Tamandua tetradactyla: one gene and its partner. The main gene of each other region encodes a partner of the protein of the gene in region 2 in a complex. Links are inferred from orthologs where the notes say so. Each region holds a gene or a part of one and is shown on either strand. Other genes may lie near its edges.

Evidence for each region. The genes of interacting proteins can lie anywhere in the genome.
Region 1: the proteins of SNAP25 (region 2) and NAPA are in contact, whole or in part, in a cryo-EM structure (PDB 6MDM), measured with the Rattus norvegicus proteins. The link is inferred for Tamandua tetradactyla from reciprocal best matches to the Homo sapiens genes SNAP25 and NAPA. Residues at the interface, in NP_112253.1 of Rattus norvegicus: Glu37, Lys40, Asp41, Ile44, Arg45, Leu47, Asp51, Glu52, Glu55, Gln56, Arg59, Glu62, Gln152, Asn159, Met163, Asp166, Glu170, Thr173; in NP_542152.1 of Rattus norvegicus: Lys122, Glu155, Glu156, Ser157, Asn158, Ser159, Ser160, Asn162, Pro196, Leu197, Leu198, Tyr200, Ser201, Lys203, Asp204, Ala234, Phe235, Ser236, Arg239, Ser268, Ile269, Ser270.

The regions. Positions count from the first base shown.
Region 1 is NC_135342.1:13,632,029-13,639,368, reverse strand, and holds the start of NAPA (alpha-soluble NSF attachment protein), read right to left. Parts: upstream 3,068-7,340; 5' UTR 2,911-3,067; coding exon 2,813-2,910; intron 1-2,812. Other genes in the region: ZNF541 (zinc finger protein 541), read right to left, coding at 7,198-7,340. UniProt on the Homo sapiens protein: Required for vesicular transport between the endoplasmic reticulum and the Golgi apparatus. Together with GNA12 promotes CDH5 localization to plasma membrane.
Region 2 is NC_135327.1:50,603,581-50,610,683, forward strand, and holds the start of SNAP25 (synaptosomal-associated protein 25), read right to left. Parts: upstream 3,070-7,103; 5' UTR 2,941-3,069; intron 1-2,940.

The DNA of each region.
Region 1 (7,340 bases), on a different chromosome or scaffold from region 2:
ATGCAGCTGAAGGACCTGGCTTGGGCCTGACTCAGAGGGAGCACTCAGGACACATTATCTGCTACCACCTGTCACAGCCGCCACAGCCTCCTGCCTTTACTCTCCTCCATCCCCCATCACTCCTCCCCCCAGCTGCTGCACTCATCTTTCCAAAAGCTGAACAGGAGCCATCCTACTCCTGTTAAATTCCTCAGTGTTCTTCAGCAACTCAAGTCCAGGCTCTTTCTCACAAAGCACTCTGGGACTGGGCCTTGCCCTCTTCCCTATCTCCAGCCTCCCTGCTCTAACCTTACATTCTAATAATATGGAACTCTCTGTAGCTAAACCTTCATTCACTGCCCTTCACACTTCTGAGCCATTGCTCACGCTGTTCCCTCTGCCTGGAGTGCTGTTCCCCCACTAGAACCCTACTTATCCTCCAAGATGGTGCCAGGCTAGCCACTCCTTCACAAGACTTTCCTGGTCCCCTAGTTCCCATCATTCTAGACAGAACCTCCCCTCATATTAGACTTTTCTTGCCCCCACCCCCCACACTATTCCTGCAACCTACCACACCCTCCCAGGCCCCCATTCCTTTAGCAAATCCTAGGGTTTCTTGGGGCCTTGCTCACAAAGAGCCTTCCTCCAGGACATGCCGTTGCCTCCCACTTCAGGAACTTCACTTGCACAACATAATTTAGCCCTCTATTACATCGGACAATCTTGCTTTACTGGATTTGGCAAGCGTTCGTCTTGCTTTCCCAATCAGACTGCATGTGCCTCAAGGGCTCTGACCGGCCTGACTGAGCTGCTCCCACCATGCATAACCCAACAGTACACTGAATTTCAGTCTGAAGGGACCAGACACCCAGAGCCACACAAGGAAAATGACTCACTACCTGAAAATGAGCTCTTGGCCCCACCATCAAACACGGCACTTGAGCTTCAGGGAGGAAAGAAGCAGCAGCACATACATACCTTCTCTCTCTTCTCAGTCTCTAACATCAAAATTCCTCCCCTACAATCCCATCAGCTCTGGATGTTTCTTTGCACTAGGCATCATTGCTCAGATACTTTTTCAAATTAGTTTTGCTAAATATTATTCAATCTTAAATAACAATGGAGGCTCCTTTCACCTTCCCTTCATTTCTTATCAATCTCTGCTGGGTTCCTAACTCAGTCTCTTCCAATTTCCGGGGCCTCCTCCAAATCCCATTATCTAGACTTCTGGAAGATTCTTCCATCCCACAGCCATCCCCAGTCTCTGCCTCTCTCTGGATCCTGAGTCTGTGCCCCGCACCCCACTTCAGTTCTTCTCAACTCTTTACAAACCCACAGTCCCTTTCGCAAGCCTCCTATCAGGTCAGACAGCCTTCTGCTCACCTTTTCAGGTCCTTCCCCCAGCCTTCCCCCTCCCTTCTACTTCCTCTGCCCAGAGCCTCAAGCCCCTCCCCTTAACCCTATTGGATACCCCTGGACCTGAGCCCTTTTTCCACACCATTTCAGCTCTTTTTTCTGCTCTGTCACACAAAGGCTTCTTCATTCTCAGACCGCATCCCCTCAACTCCTCCCAGACCTCTCCCCTCAGGCCCCTACCTCCATCCCCTCCAGTCCTCTCCAGGTTCCAAATCTTAAGCACAGAAATGTTAATAACGCTGGCTAGCACTTCTGGAATTTTAACCACGTGCTAAGCTCAAGTTAAGCACTTTACACATATTGTTATTCAACACTCCAAGGAAACCAATGAGATAGATTTCCCCACACTCCCCTTTAACAGGGAAGTTAAACAATTTACCCAACATCATGAAGTAGCAAAGCCACACTTTGTGACACTCCTAAACCACTCAGATTCCTCAAAAGAGAATCATCAGCATTATTTGTCTGAGCTAACATGAATTTTATGTGAAATGTCTGCCACGCTGTTGGTGTGAGTTGTCCCCCAACATCTTTAAGGCCCCTTTCCTAGTTTGCCAGAGGGATCTTCCTTCTGAATCTTTATTCAACGATCAAACATCGTGTCCTCAGCCCCCTTTTGGTTTTCTCAGTCCCCTTACCTCTTTCACACCTAGAGATCTCCAGCCCCTTGGCCCAGATCTCCCGCCCTGCCTTCAGACTTAACTCCATCACCCCTGGGCCTCCTCCACCCAGGTCCCATTAAGTATAAGACTTTTTAGATTAGTCACCACTAACCAGGCGCATACTCACCCCAGGCATCCTCACACACCTCAGTCTTGAACTCATCACCTCCAAACCACCTTAGCCCCGATCCCCTCGGCCTGGTATCAGATTCCACCAGCCCTCACCCTGTCACCTGGCCCCCGGAAATCCACTACCGGAGGCCTGGGGAAGGTTAACCCCTAGGGCAGGTGATCTCAGTCCGGAGCCCCATAGCGTCCGCCTGGGATCCCGCAAGTAGGCTCTCCCTGCGCTCCGAAAGGCTTCTCAACCTTGCTGCCCTCCCGGCTTCCGCAATCCCTTCAGGCCGAGCCCCCTTCCAGGCCTCAGACTAAAGACTTTCGGCCCAAGGTTTCCTCCCATCCCTTGGCCCGTCTTCAGCCTGGATCCCCTTCGTCGCCTCAAGATGGTGTCACCTCGGCCTGTCTCCCCTCGTACGAGATTCCCTCCGCTGTCTCAGCCTCCCCTCAAACCGCGCTGCACGGCCCGGGGCCCCCTGGCTCTCAGCCTGTGTCCCCTCTGCTGCCTTGGGCCTTATCTCTTATCCCGAATTCCCTCCGTCCCTTCGGCCCGAGTCGTCCGTGCCTCCCCGGCCGCCTCAGGCCGCGCTCCCGTTCTCTCTGCCGAGGTCCCGCCAGCCCCTCGGCCCTGTTCTTACCCAAAGAGGCCGGAGAAGAAGGACTGCGAGTTCTTCACCTTGCGCTCCGCCTCGGCCAGCAGCGCTACCGCCTCCGCTTCCTTCCCCGAATTGTCCATGGCAGCCGCGAAGGGACTCAGCAAACGGCCCGGCCCGGCCCTCGGAGAACTCAGCACCCGCCGCGCCAGGCGGATCGGCGGAGCTCAGCAGGCTGCGTTGACGTCGCACCGGCACGTATCGCCTGCTGCCCGGCGCCATGTGACCCGCGCCGACCAACCAGCGCGACGTGGAGCGCGACGCTCGCCCCGCTGGCCCCGCCCCTGTTAATCGGCGCACGAAGACCCGTGACTCGCAACCACCAGTCGGCGTCCACAGCTTCGGCGCACGCGTACGACACCACCACGTGACACGAGCTAAGCCAATCAGAGCGTCAAGGACCTGCTCGAGAGTGCGGCCTCTCTGGAGCCTCCTCCGCTAATCAGCAACAGCAGCCCTCGCCTGGGGTCCGCCCTGCCTGGGAAACTACGGCACTAGTCAGCTGACCGCCGGGCCTCACGTGACAACCCTACCCCCCCACCCCCAGCCCGGGGCGCACGCCTACGCCCGAGTTTGACAGTTCCCTTGCGCAGAGCTCAGTATTGCCTCAGTGGTGTTACCTCGCGCCATCCTTCTTCGCGTATGTGGTGGAAAATAAACTTTTCTGCCTCTTCTTACGCCCTCTGCCGACTGATGCTGGAACTGGTTTAGTCCTGGGTAACTTTGAGAGCAGAGGTTTCTAAACTCTGCTTGCAAGGGCAATAGTTGGGAGAACGTGTTAAAATTGAGGTTTGAGCACAGCCCATTCAGTCTCCAGATCTTGGTTCCTACTATCATTCTCCCATAGAAGAAACCAGGGGGAGGGAAAGTACACGTAGGCGGAGCATTTTGTAGTGTCCGAAAGTAAGGAAGTGCTAAAAACAAATCACACAAACACGATGTGGGTTTATCAAAGGGCCACATGCACCAACTGAAAGGAGAAGGAGCCTAAGTCCCAACTCTTTAAGTGTGGGCTGCACAAAGTGACTTCCTTTTCAATTATCAACGCGGGGGGGGGGGTGCGGGACAGGACAGCAAGTAACTTTACAGTTGAGAAATGAAGCACTGCATCAGCTAGGTGATGACCAAGGTTAACACAAAGTGATGTCATGTTGCTAGTATATATCTTTGATAAGATGTGATGTAATGGTTCTTCTTTCCCAAAACATTCAACCCTAGTCTAATCACATGAAAAACAACAAATCCCAATTGAGGCACGTTCTATAAAATACCTGATCAGTATTCAAAACTGTTAAGATCATCACAAACAAGGAAATTTGGAGAAACTCACACCCAAGAGGAGCCTAAAGAGACGTGAGTATTAAATGTGATGTGGGATCCTGGAACAGAAAAAGGGCATTAGATTGAAACTAAGGAAATCTGAATGAAGTATGGACTTGAGTTAATAATTATGTATCAATATTGGTTCAATAATTTTAACAAATCTAAACAACAAAAATACCACACCAGTGTAAGATGTTAGAAGAAGAAACTGGCTGTGGGGTATGTGGGAACACTTTGTCCTATTCTCAGTTTTCTCTATAAATCTAAAATTGTTTTGTTTTGTTTTTTTCCTAATCCTGGTTCTAGGGCCCTAAATCCGAAGATTCTGATTCTCAAAGTCTGTGTCAGGGCACAGGAATCTGCATTTTTTTTACAGTCCCCTCCCCTCCATGTGACTCAGATGCAGACCATTGGGAAACCAGTTTGAGAAAACAGTGATCGGGTGGTGGACGGGAGGGCACCGAACACGCTGGGTGAGGCACAAGAAACCGTTGCCCAACTCTTCTTCTTAGATTTTCCTGGACCACCTATTTGTGGTTGCTGTTGCATCCTGACCACAGATCAGGTGGGGGTGGGTCTGCATCACCACAAACAGTTTTGGTTCTGTGTCTGTCAGTGGGGCACTACTCTAAAAGCTTCCACTTGTTTTAAGCTGTTGAGCTTGAGGGTATTTTGTTATGGAGCAACAAATAACTACTATACTCCCTGACTCTTTAAGCTAGGCTTTTGTTTCAAAGTCCAAGGAGCAAGTTTGACTTATTATTTAGGATGGAGTCCAAACGATGATAGTAATGCCATCAGAACTCATCGAAAGTTAGCTGTAAAATTCACATGGGGAACCCTGCAAAATACCTAATCATTTAATGGATACATGGGGATAGGCATTTTTCAATCTCATTTAATGGATACATGGGGATAGGCATTTTTCAATCCGCTTTAGAGGTGAGAAAATGAGGCTTAGACAGGGGAAGTGAGCTGCGTAAGGTCACAAAGAAGGGGAGACAGGATGCATATTCTGGTTCTTCTGATGCCTGAGCCTGGACTGCTTCAAACTTAATTCCTCCTCTACTCCTCCTCCCTCCGAGTCTTGAAAACTCGGCTGAGATATCAGCCCTCTGTGAAACCTGGCACCACCGTCTGCCCTGTTCCCCCTGCCAGATCCTTACACACAGGGCACACCCTTAGAGACCTGGCCAAGCAGTGATGTGCCCTGTCATCTCGGTGGTTGCTCTGCATCTGCTCGGCTGCTCAAGCCCCCAACCCACAGGCCAGCCTTGATCCTATCCTTTTCCTCACTACCTCTTCAATTTCCAAGTCTGTGCAGTCCACCTGCAAAATGCACCCCTAACCCACACGTTTCTTTGCCTCATCACTGCTACCACCCAACCTGGTACATTGCATCTTTTACCTTGGAGGCGTCTATCTACTCCCCCGATGTCCACTCTTGCCTCCTACAACCCATCTTCCACAGCAGTCAGAGAAATTTCTTCAGGCAGTTTGTCAGTTGTCACTTCCTACTTAACACCTCCTCTGGTCTCTAGCCGCAGAGAGTGCACTCTGCCCTTCTGCAGCCTGGGATCCAGATCCCAACTCAGCAGGCCCCTCAGTGAGGCCTTCTCTAGCTGTCCCACTAACACTGCCTGCCGCACTCTGGTCCTCTCCTAGGACTTGGCCCCTCCTTCACCTCCTTCATGTCACTTGGTGGGAGGACACTGTGGTCTGCCTGCCCAGTAGCCATTTCCATGTCCTTCTCTTCTCCTGGCTAAGAGACTTCCAGTTTTGTTCAGGTGGCAATAAACTTGAGGGCATACATTGGTCTTCCTTGGTCCCCGAGACAACCCTTGAGTGGTCCAAGGAAACAGTGATCATTTCTGCTCCATATGCCCGGGAGGAGTTTAGAAATGAGCACAGGCTATGGTTCCGGCTGATGAGACACAAGAGGCAGGCTGCTGGGAGCTTATGCAAGTTTTCCTTTCTTAACAAGAGAAACTAGGAAGGAAGGGATATGTTCTTTATCTGTGAACCTCCAACGATATGGATATTATTGTGGGAGGAGTTGAATCTTGTCTCTGCTGCAGTCTTGACTTTGTGGGTAGAGCCACGGGAGCCATACACCCTGACTGCTCACACTTACAACGACAGTCTTGGTGCTGTGGCCAAAAGCAGACCCACCCTTGAGATCTTAAATCGCCTCGTTCGCATCTCTGTTACTGTTATCTCCCTCCTAGAACGTGAGCTCTCTGAAGAAGGGGGCCCTGTTCCTCCTGAGTCACCACAACCCCATACCTGGGCTGGGCAATGTCTGGCCCACGCTACAGTAGGCGCTTAATGAATGTACAAATTAATCTGCCTGTTCCCTCCCCTCTGCCTCCCAAGGCTACCAGCTCCTCTGGGACACGAACCCATCTTACTCATCTCTGTGGCCCTGGAATGAGGCAGGGATGCAAAAGCCTTTGTGGGATCAACAGGCCAGGGAAGTCAGAAGACAGCTGCTCAAGAACCCAATTTAATAAGATTTACAAGTAGACACGTAAAAAAAAAAAAACCCTAACAATGTACAAGTCGTTGCAAGATTAGGGACTGAATCCTGAGTGCAGAGAGACCACCTACTTAGGGAGGCCCCAACATGCTGGGGGAGATCTGAAGGTATTTTCCCACTGATTCTCTAAATCTTGGCCTTATCTAACAAATATAACCAAACCCCAAAAGTGAGGCTAAGACTTAAGAGCTACCCAGATCTAACTTTTTCCCCTCCCCAAGTCTCCCAGCTCCAGGAGGAGTGGAAGCAAAAGGCAGGGAGAGACGATTAACATAAAAAGAATGGCACTTCTGGCACCCCCATGACAGGGACTTCACAAATGCCGGGTGACTGTGTGCTCCTCCGGCGGATCGATGGCCATGTGCCCAGCGTGGGACAATGCAGAGTGGGGGCAGCGAGGCAGGGCCAGCACCTTGGCAAGGTCTCCTCTTGGACAGACTACAGGGAGACGAGAGGCCTGGAGACCCCTCCCCCCCGTCTAGCCCAGCAGGCTGCCGCAGGGTGGGGCTCACCACTGCAGGGCACCGATGCCGGGCCCTGCCCCCTCCCCATCCTCCTCCTCCAGCTGGAAGGGCTTCACAGGCCACTTCACCCTGACCACGGGCTCCACAGCATCTTGAAGCCGGTGCCGCTTCATGTGGGCGTTGCGAC
Region 2 (7,103 bases):
TGTCTCCTTTCTCAATCTCTCAAATTACTTCTCTCTCTTCTGCTAATCCTTCACAACCTATACGTTTTGCTAAAGGCCAGATGCTACACAGAGAGGTGTCACCGACAGAAACATAGATCTTTCAGTTGATAAACACCACTCTGGGGTTAACATTTGGGGCTTAGGAATGTTTTTAGACAAGCTAATTAAGGGACAGCTTGTACTGGATGTGTGCATGGGTGATTGTGCGTGTTTAACAAAGTAAAAATAAAATTGTGAATTCCTGAGAGGTATCAGCATGGGGACGTTAGGTAGACTGGATATTATTTTGTAGTCTGAATCCTGTGGTGGATAATGCAGAAAATGCCAATAGAAGCAAATAAGCAGGTACCATCAGAGGGTATAGATGAATGTTCCTATCTGTTCCTGCCTCTTTTCACTGTTTTGCCCCCCAGACTTTTAAAATTTAAAATAGGAACTCCCTTGATTTTTTTTAAGTTTATCAACAATATAAATTTGAGTTCATGCTTCAGTTATGATTTTCTTTAATTTCTAAGGAAGCTATCCTAGAATTAACTCCATAATTGTGCACATCTCCTCTTCCCCCCAGCACTGTGCTTTTTGCCAGCTTCACTGCAGTCCTCCTCCACCTCCCTCTTCACCCCCATCTTCCACTTGCAAACAAACCCAGCAGTAATTACTAATATCTAAGCACGTAATTCCAGCAGCATTAGGCTTTTTATTTGATGTAACTACGCAGAAAGCTGTCTGGACATACAGCATGAAGTCAAAGCATTTTTTAATACTCCTGCCCATCTTTTCTCCCCTCTTCTCATCACTAAAAAACTGTTGTTTATTTCTTCTGCAGATTGCAGAGTTATGAACTTCTTTTACGCAGTAACACACTCAAATAAATTTCCACCCAAATAACTTTACATCCATGCATACAGGTCAACATATGCATATATGAAATATATAGTTATCCATATAAAGGAAAATCACTAGGAAATAAATAGCTGGGAGCAAAAATACCTTTTCCATGTAGATGGACATTTTAGCACCTCTAGTATACACGTGATTGGAATTATTACTGGCTAAAAACATTCCAAGATCTTAATTTGGGGCGTTTTAGAGGACCATAATGGCATTTTTTTAACGCGTCGCATATATTTTTACATATGAAACTGTTACTCTAATTTACTCAAAAAGCACAATTTTACTTGTCATTTTATGCAATCTTTATATATATCAAACAGAGAAAAAAATATTATTATGATGATTTTTGCTGGTTTAGAGGCTCCGAGCCTCAGAGTAGAAAATGGTTCAAGTACCTATCGTCGCCTTGGCAAAATCCCGCAGTGCTGCAATAGAAATTGCAGTAGAATTTTAGGCCAGAGTCCAGTTTTAGTCTAACATGGTTCTTTCACCTGCATTACCCTGAAGGGCACAATTGGATTCAACTGAGGAAGCCCAATCTTAATGTTGTCAAATCAGAAGCTTTCAGCCTGAGATAACCAATGTCCTTAGAAAATATTTACTTCCAATAACTCTAAAACCTTAACTAAAGGAGTTAAATCTATACACTCTACGACCTGTAAATATTTCTCAGAAACATAGTTTTGTGGCTGTGTGTTTGTGCTCATACATAATTACAAGAGTAGGGGGAGAAAGAGGAAGAGGGATTCATTCTTAAAGTTAATTATGCTTAGTTCAGCTATCCCCAATTTTTTGCTAAATAGAAATATATATGGAGAGATCACTCCTATAAATAGATAATGTTGACATCTTCATTTTTATCCCACTCATGCCCACCCAAGATCTGTAGGCAGTGCATTACGTGCTCTGTGTTAACATAAAAACAAACCAAATCTTGACATCCGGTAGAAAGGTAAACGCAGATTTAAGAAATGTGTTTATTTCCTACCTAAAATAAAGGGCAACAGAAGGTTTCCACAAAGTAGACTGTTATTTTTTTTAAAGCTAAGCAGGAGATCTGGAGAAAGCAGGCATTGCCTGCAAAGGAGTCCCTGCGGGCATGATTTATTTATTATTATTATTTTTTTTTTTACCTACTACGTCTGCTCTTAAATACTTCATTAGGGGTCTCTGTGAGACCAGGTTTCACAGCGGCAATCTGTCCTGCAGCCCTGGCACAGAACATCCTATCCAGGCCCCTCTGCCTCTGAAGCCGGGTCGTTGTCCGCGGTGCTGAAAGGTCACGGGCGCCGGCGCGGGCCTTTGTATCGCTGTCCAGGGTGCTGAGTGAGGGCCGTCGCAGTCCCCGAGGCCATCCCATCCCCGCCAGCTCTCCGCAGAGCCCTCCCACCCGGCACAAACCGCCCGCCTCCCGCCAGGCTGCAGTTGACGTGGGGCAGGAGGCATGAATCAAGTCTGTGGGGGCAAGGAGGCTGCTGTCGCTGCCTCAGCTCAGCTTGCCCCGGACGGGAACTCTCCCCCTTCCCCTCCTTTCGCCTCCCCAACGCCCACAACCTGCCTTTCCCTCAATTCTGCACTGGATAATAGCACGCTAAAGGCAAGTCATAATAACAGGGTTAGAAGAACAGATTTTTTTTTCTTTTCTTTTTGTCTACAGAAGCAACAACAACAACAACACAACATCAGCCTAAACACCTCTGAAAACTGCGTCGCAAAATGGAAGAGAGAAAGGGTCCCACCACAGTTTTAAAAGAGTAAGTTATTATTTGGATCGTATCCTTACGTTTCCCTCCCATCGCTCCATCCGCAGTAGCCCCATTCATCCCTTCCACAAGCAGCCCACCTCAAAAACACTTTATAAAGCCCCAGGCGGGAGTCCAGCCAGGCGCGCACACACGGAACACCGCGCCCCAGGCGCACAAATACTTGTACTGCCCAAGGCCACTAGGTCTGCCCAGCTGCGGTCCTCTTTGGGAATGCAACCTCTCAGAGTCAGCACCGGGGCCCGGGGAGGGGGCTTCTTACCTGGGCTTCCCGGGAGGGTAGTGTTCGCCGGATCCCAGCAGGTTGCGAGTGTGCAGGAGCCGCCGAGCAGGGAGGGAAGGCGAGACAGAGCCTGACCTCCCCGAGGTTTCGTCTTCAATGCAACGTGAGCTCTGCCCTCATCAAAGATGGCCGTCCCTCTTGACGTCAGCAGCTTTTAATAGCCGTCGCCTCCAGGGGCGGGAGGAAGTCTGCGGCGGGGAGGGCGGAGGGAGGGCGGAGGCTGCGGGTGGGACGCGAGCAGCCGGTAGGCGCCGAGCGCTTGACTCAGCTCCCGGTGAGCGTTACTGAAACCTTTGTATTTTAGTCCCGTACAAACTCTGAAACGGGGCTATCCTTATGGCTGCATTTTAATACACCGTCTCGGGAAAACACATTAATCTGACGACTGTTTTTCTAGTGTCATACACGTGTGTTTGTATATGTGTGCTAACATATGCATGTTGTGTGTACATGTTGCATCCTGTATGTATATTATGTCTATATATCCATGTGTGTGTGTGTGGGGGGCGGGGTGCATACTTTATTCTCCCCGCTGAGTTGAGTCATGGAAGGAGGAGGGGAAGACCGAGGAGGCGGAGAGGGAGGTGGTGGCGGCGGGGAGGGACGCTGGGGGAGCTCGATTTCAGCAGCGATTAGTTTTCCCCAAAGAAGAGGGTCCGAAGGGGCATCCCTGTCAACCCTCGCCAGCTCCATATATGGCCAGGCTACGTGGGTTACTATTTTTATGAGTGATTTGTTCATTTTATCAAAGCAGCACCCAGGGCTTGGAGTTCGTATTAATGTGGTCAGCTGGGAAGACAGACTCGCGCACGTTATTTGAACGGACGTCAGAGCAATTATCTCCCAGAGATATCAAAGGAGCTGGGGGAGAGGGGAGCGAAGGGTCGTTAACCCAACCAGCGTGGGTTTGCAAGGGCTCGAGGCTCCGAGTAGCGTTGTTTACCGAGGGCAAAACAGATGACGCTGCTTTCGCTTGAATTTGCAATCGGGTCCTGAGGTTGTGCGTTGGGTGTCTTCAGAACAGCCCTCGGAGGCACGTATAGGACCGTCCAGACTTCCGGGGGAAGGTGGAGGACTGCAGGATCCAGGGTGGGTTGGACGCGATGAAGTTCTAGTGATTCTCTCGATGCGCGAACCCTGGGTCAGAGTAGAGGCTGATTTGGGGGACTTATGATGTTCGCAACAGGACGTGGGCAAGAAACGATAGTTTTCCTGGTCATCTGAGAGATTAAAATAATAAGCATAAAGCAATAATACTTCCTCCCTTGTGCACTAGGCGACCAGGGAGAGCTGGGGTGGGGGTGGGGCGACAGGGGGTGGGTATGCAAATGGCTCCGCGGTGGCAGCCTCTCCGATGATTCACAGGTGTTGGGGAGGTTGTTGTGGGGCTCTCCGCGGGGAGGGCGAGCTGGGGAGCGCGTGGGAGGTGGGGGACTTCGGCTGAGGAACTGTTTGTACTTTTCCAGGAAGGATGCGATTAGAAGTCGTGCCTTGCAATGTTAAAACTTGATGGCCTCTTTTAGACGATGGAAAATCCTTGTCTGCTTTAGAAGAAGCCATTCAGAGCTAGGTCCCGAAAAATGACACACAATAAAACGTCCCCCACCCCAGCATACACCTACACCTACACACACACACATTCCAAGCATAAACAATTATAAGCCTTTTAATTGCACGTGTTGGAGAGAGAGACACACAAGGAGAGAGAGAGACATGCAGACCCTGCGAGAGGAGTAAAAAGAGGCGTAAAGGGACTGGTCAGAGGAAGCAAAGCTGTAAGAATTTTGAAAGAAAGCCGTTAATTTAAATGAGTAGATGTCATTGTTTCCTAAAGATTCTCTGACCAAAAAGGTATTTCAAAATATTAATCTTTGCAATAATAATTAACCAATGCTGTTTGGATTTTTATTAAAGTTGGAGTCCTAAAACAAGGCACGTTACTGAAATTTGTTTACTTAAATATTTATTAAACATTTAAGATTCTTATACAATAAAGAAGAGGAAAATCAAAATCCGTATAGTCCTTAGATAGTTAATTGCCAATAAAACTCTCCTACTTATGATTCTTAATTTCGTGGTACAGCAAGTAGGAATGGGATGGGAGAAGTGGTGACAAATGCAATGGCACTGCAAAATCTTTTATAGTTAGGATTTTTTCCAAAATGTGACACCCACAAAAAAGGCAGCATGTAGACGTTGGGGGTGGGGTAGGCAGGAGGCAGATCTGCAGTGGGGAGAAACAGAATATGTGTAGGGCTCTCAGATCAGAAGTCATTCAGGCAGCAAGTTTTGTGAAGGAATGGGGCAGGGGTGGGGGTGGGGGACAGGGTATTTTCCGGATTAAAAAAAAAAAGTAAAAAAGTAACTATGTCAGTGAGGGGAGCTTATCCTGCAGGCAGAAGCTATATGGAAGGCAACTGGGGAAGGACTGGCCATGTGTTCTGAGTTTTCAACTGCTGCTGCCCCAAGCTGACGTCTTAAAAAATTACAGATAAGATGAGAGCCAGACAGATTCAGAGCATCACAGAAAGGCACAGGCCCTACAGGATTATTTTGCAGTGGTGACAGCATTTTCCATTCCCCTCTGCTGGTGTTGAAAAGGATGCCATTTGAGAGGTTCTTCCTCTCGCTCTGGAAAAGACAGCAGAGAAACATAAATACTGGACATTTAGGTCCATTTGGAGCTAAAAATTCTACTAAGGATGAATGGATAGCCTAAAATGCATTTTGAATATGATAATGAGGTTTTCCCTTTAGGGTTTTCTCGTTGCTTGATTAAAAAAAAAACAAAGAAAAAGGAAAAAGAAAAAAAAAACATTTACAGTCATTTTTGACAGTAGGACAACCAGCAGATTCATTTTGCTCAGAGTCTATAAAAGCCTGAATAACAGAGAAGGAAGGTGATAGAAAATTTGTTCCAAAATGATTCAGCTGCCTGTGAGTTATTTCTATAACTCAAATGTAAAGTAGCTAATGCTTAGGAACTCATTCCATGAGGAAAGAGAAAATTACCTGCTCTGTAGGATGGATATTTACACTATGCTAATTCAGTCTCTGAAGGTGTTTTCTGGTACACCAGGCCCCGAGGTGTTCTGGTTTGTAATGGCTTCCGATCCAGAGTATTTAGCTTGTATTCTCTTTACTGAGGTGCAAAATTTATAGTTGACTCAAAAGTTACAACCTGGGAAGGATAATACAATATAAGATTTTATGAAATACCATATAAACCCAAAGTCAACTTGGGAGTAGTTTAGAACTAACCCAACTCAAAACCAATCCCCCCAAATTCCTCCTTGGGGTACACCTGGCACTCTGAAAAATGTATCAGATCACCCTGAGGGCATGAGACGAGGGCTTGAGAATACACAGCTTGACAGATCAACTGTTTTGATTCCTTGGTTTGCTTTTCACGTGATGTGTTTGTCACTTTCTCTTTACATATTCTTGTAGCTGTTACCCCAGTTCCTGCCCCACTCACAGCTCATGACCTAATAGTAACTTGGGAAAGCTAAAATGCCCCAGGTCTAAACTCTCCAGGCTGTGGCTGTTTCCTGGAGCCTCTGAGATAGGGACGTGTCTTGTGAGAGGTAGAAGGAGAGCCAGGGATATTGCTTTCTGTTTCTGGCTTGCCATGTTGAGGTACAATAAGTCCGCATGCTTAGAATTTTAAATACCATTTTGTCCTTTACTAAGAACAGTGTTGTGGAAAGGAGGGGAGTGGTCTCCAGTCAGAGGCCTGTTCCATAACACATCCCTCCCCCTAATTCTGAGACGCGGTCACGTGGGGAGACGTGTAACAATCACAGGCAGAAGGGAATGGGGAAATGGTAGTCAAAATTAGCAAACTTCAAAAAGGCTATTTGAAAGGGATTACAGTACTCTTTCAGCAAACCTTTTAAGCATCTTAATAATTTCCATAACTTCACTATACCTCTGTTTTATTATAGGCAAAATCAGGATAATAATTATACCCAACTTACAGGGAAAGTGCTTAGCACTTAAAATTATGTCTGGCACTTGTTGAGTACTATGAAATATTGGTTAAATAAAGTAAATCTATCAATTTGATAAGGTTTTAAATTTCTCTAATTGTTGCTATACTATGGAGGGACTGAGTTCATTAGTTGCTAACTAGATGCATA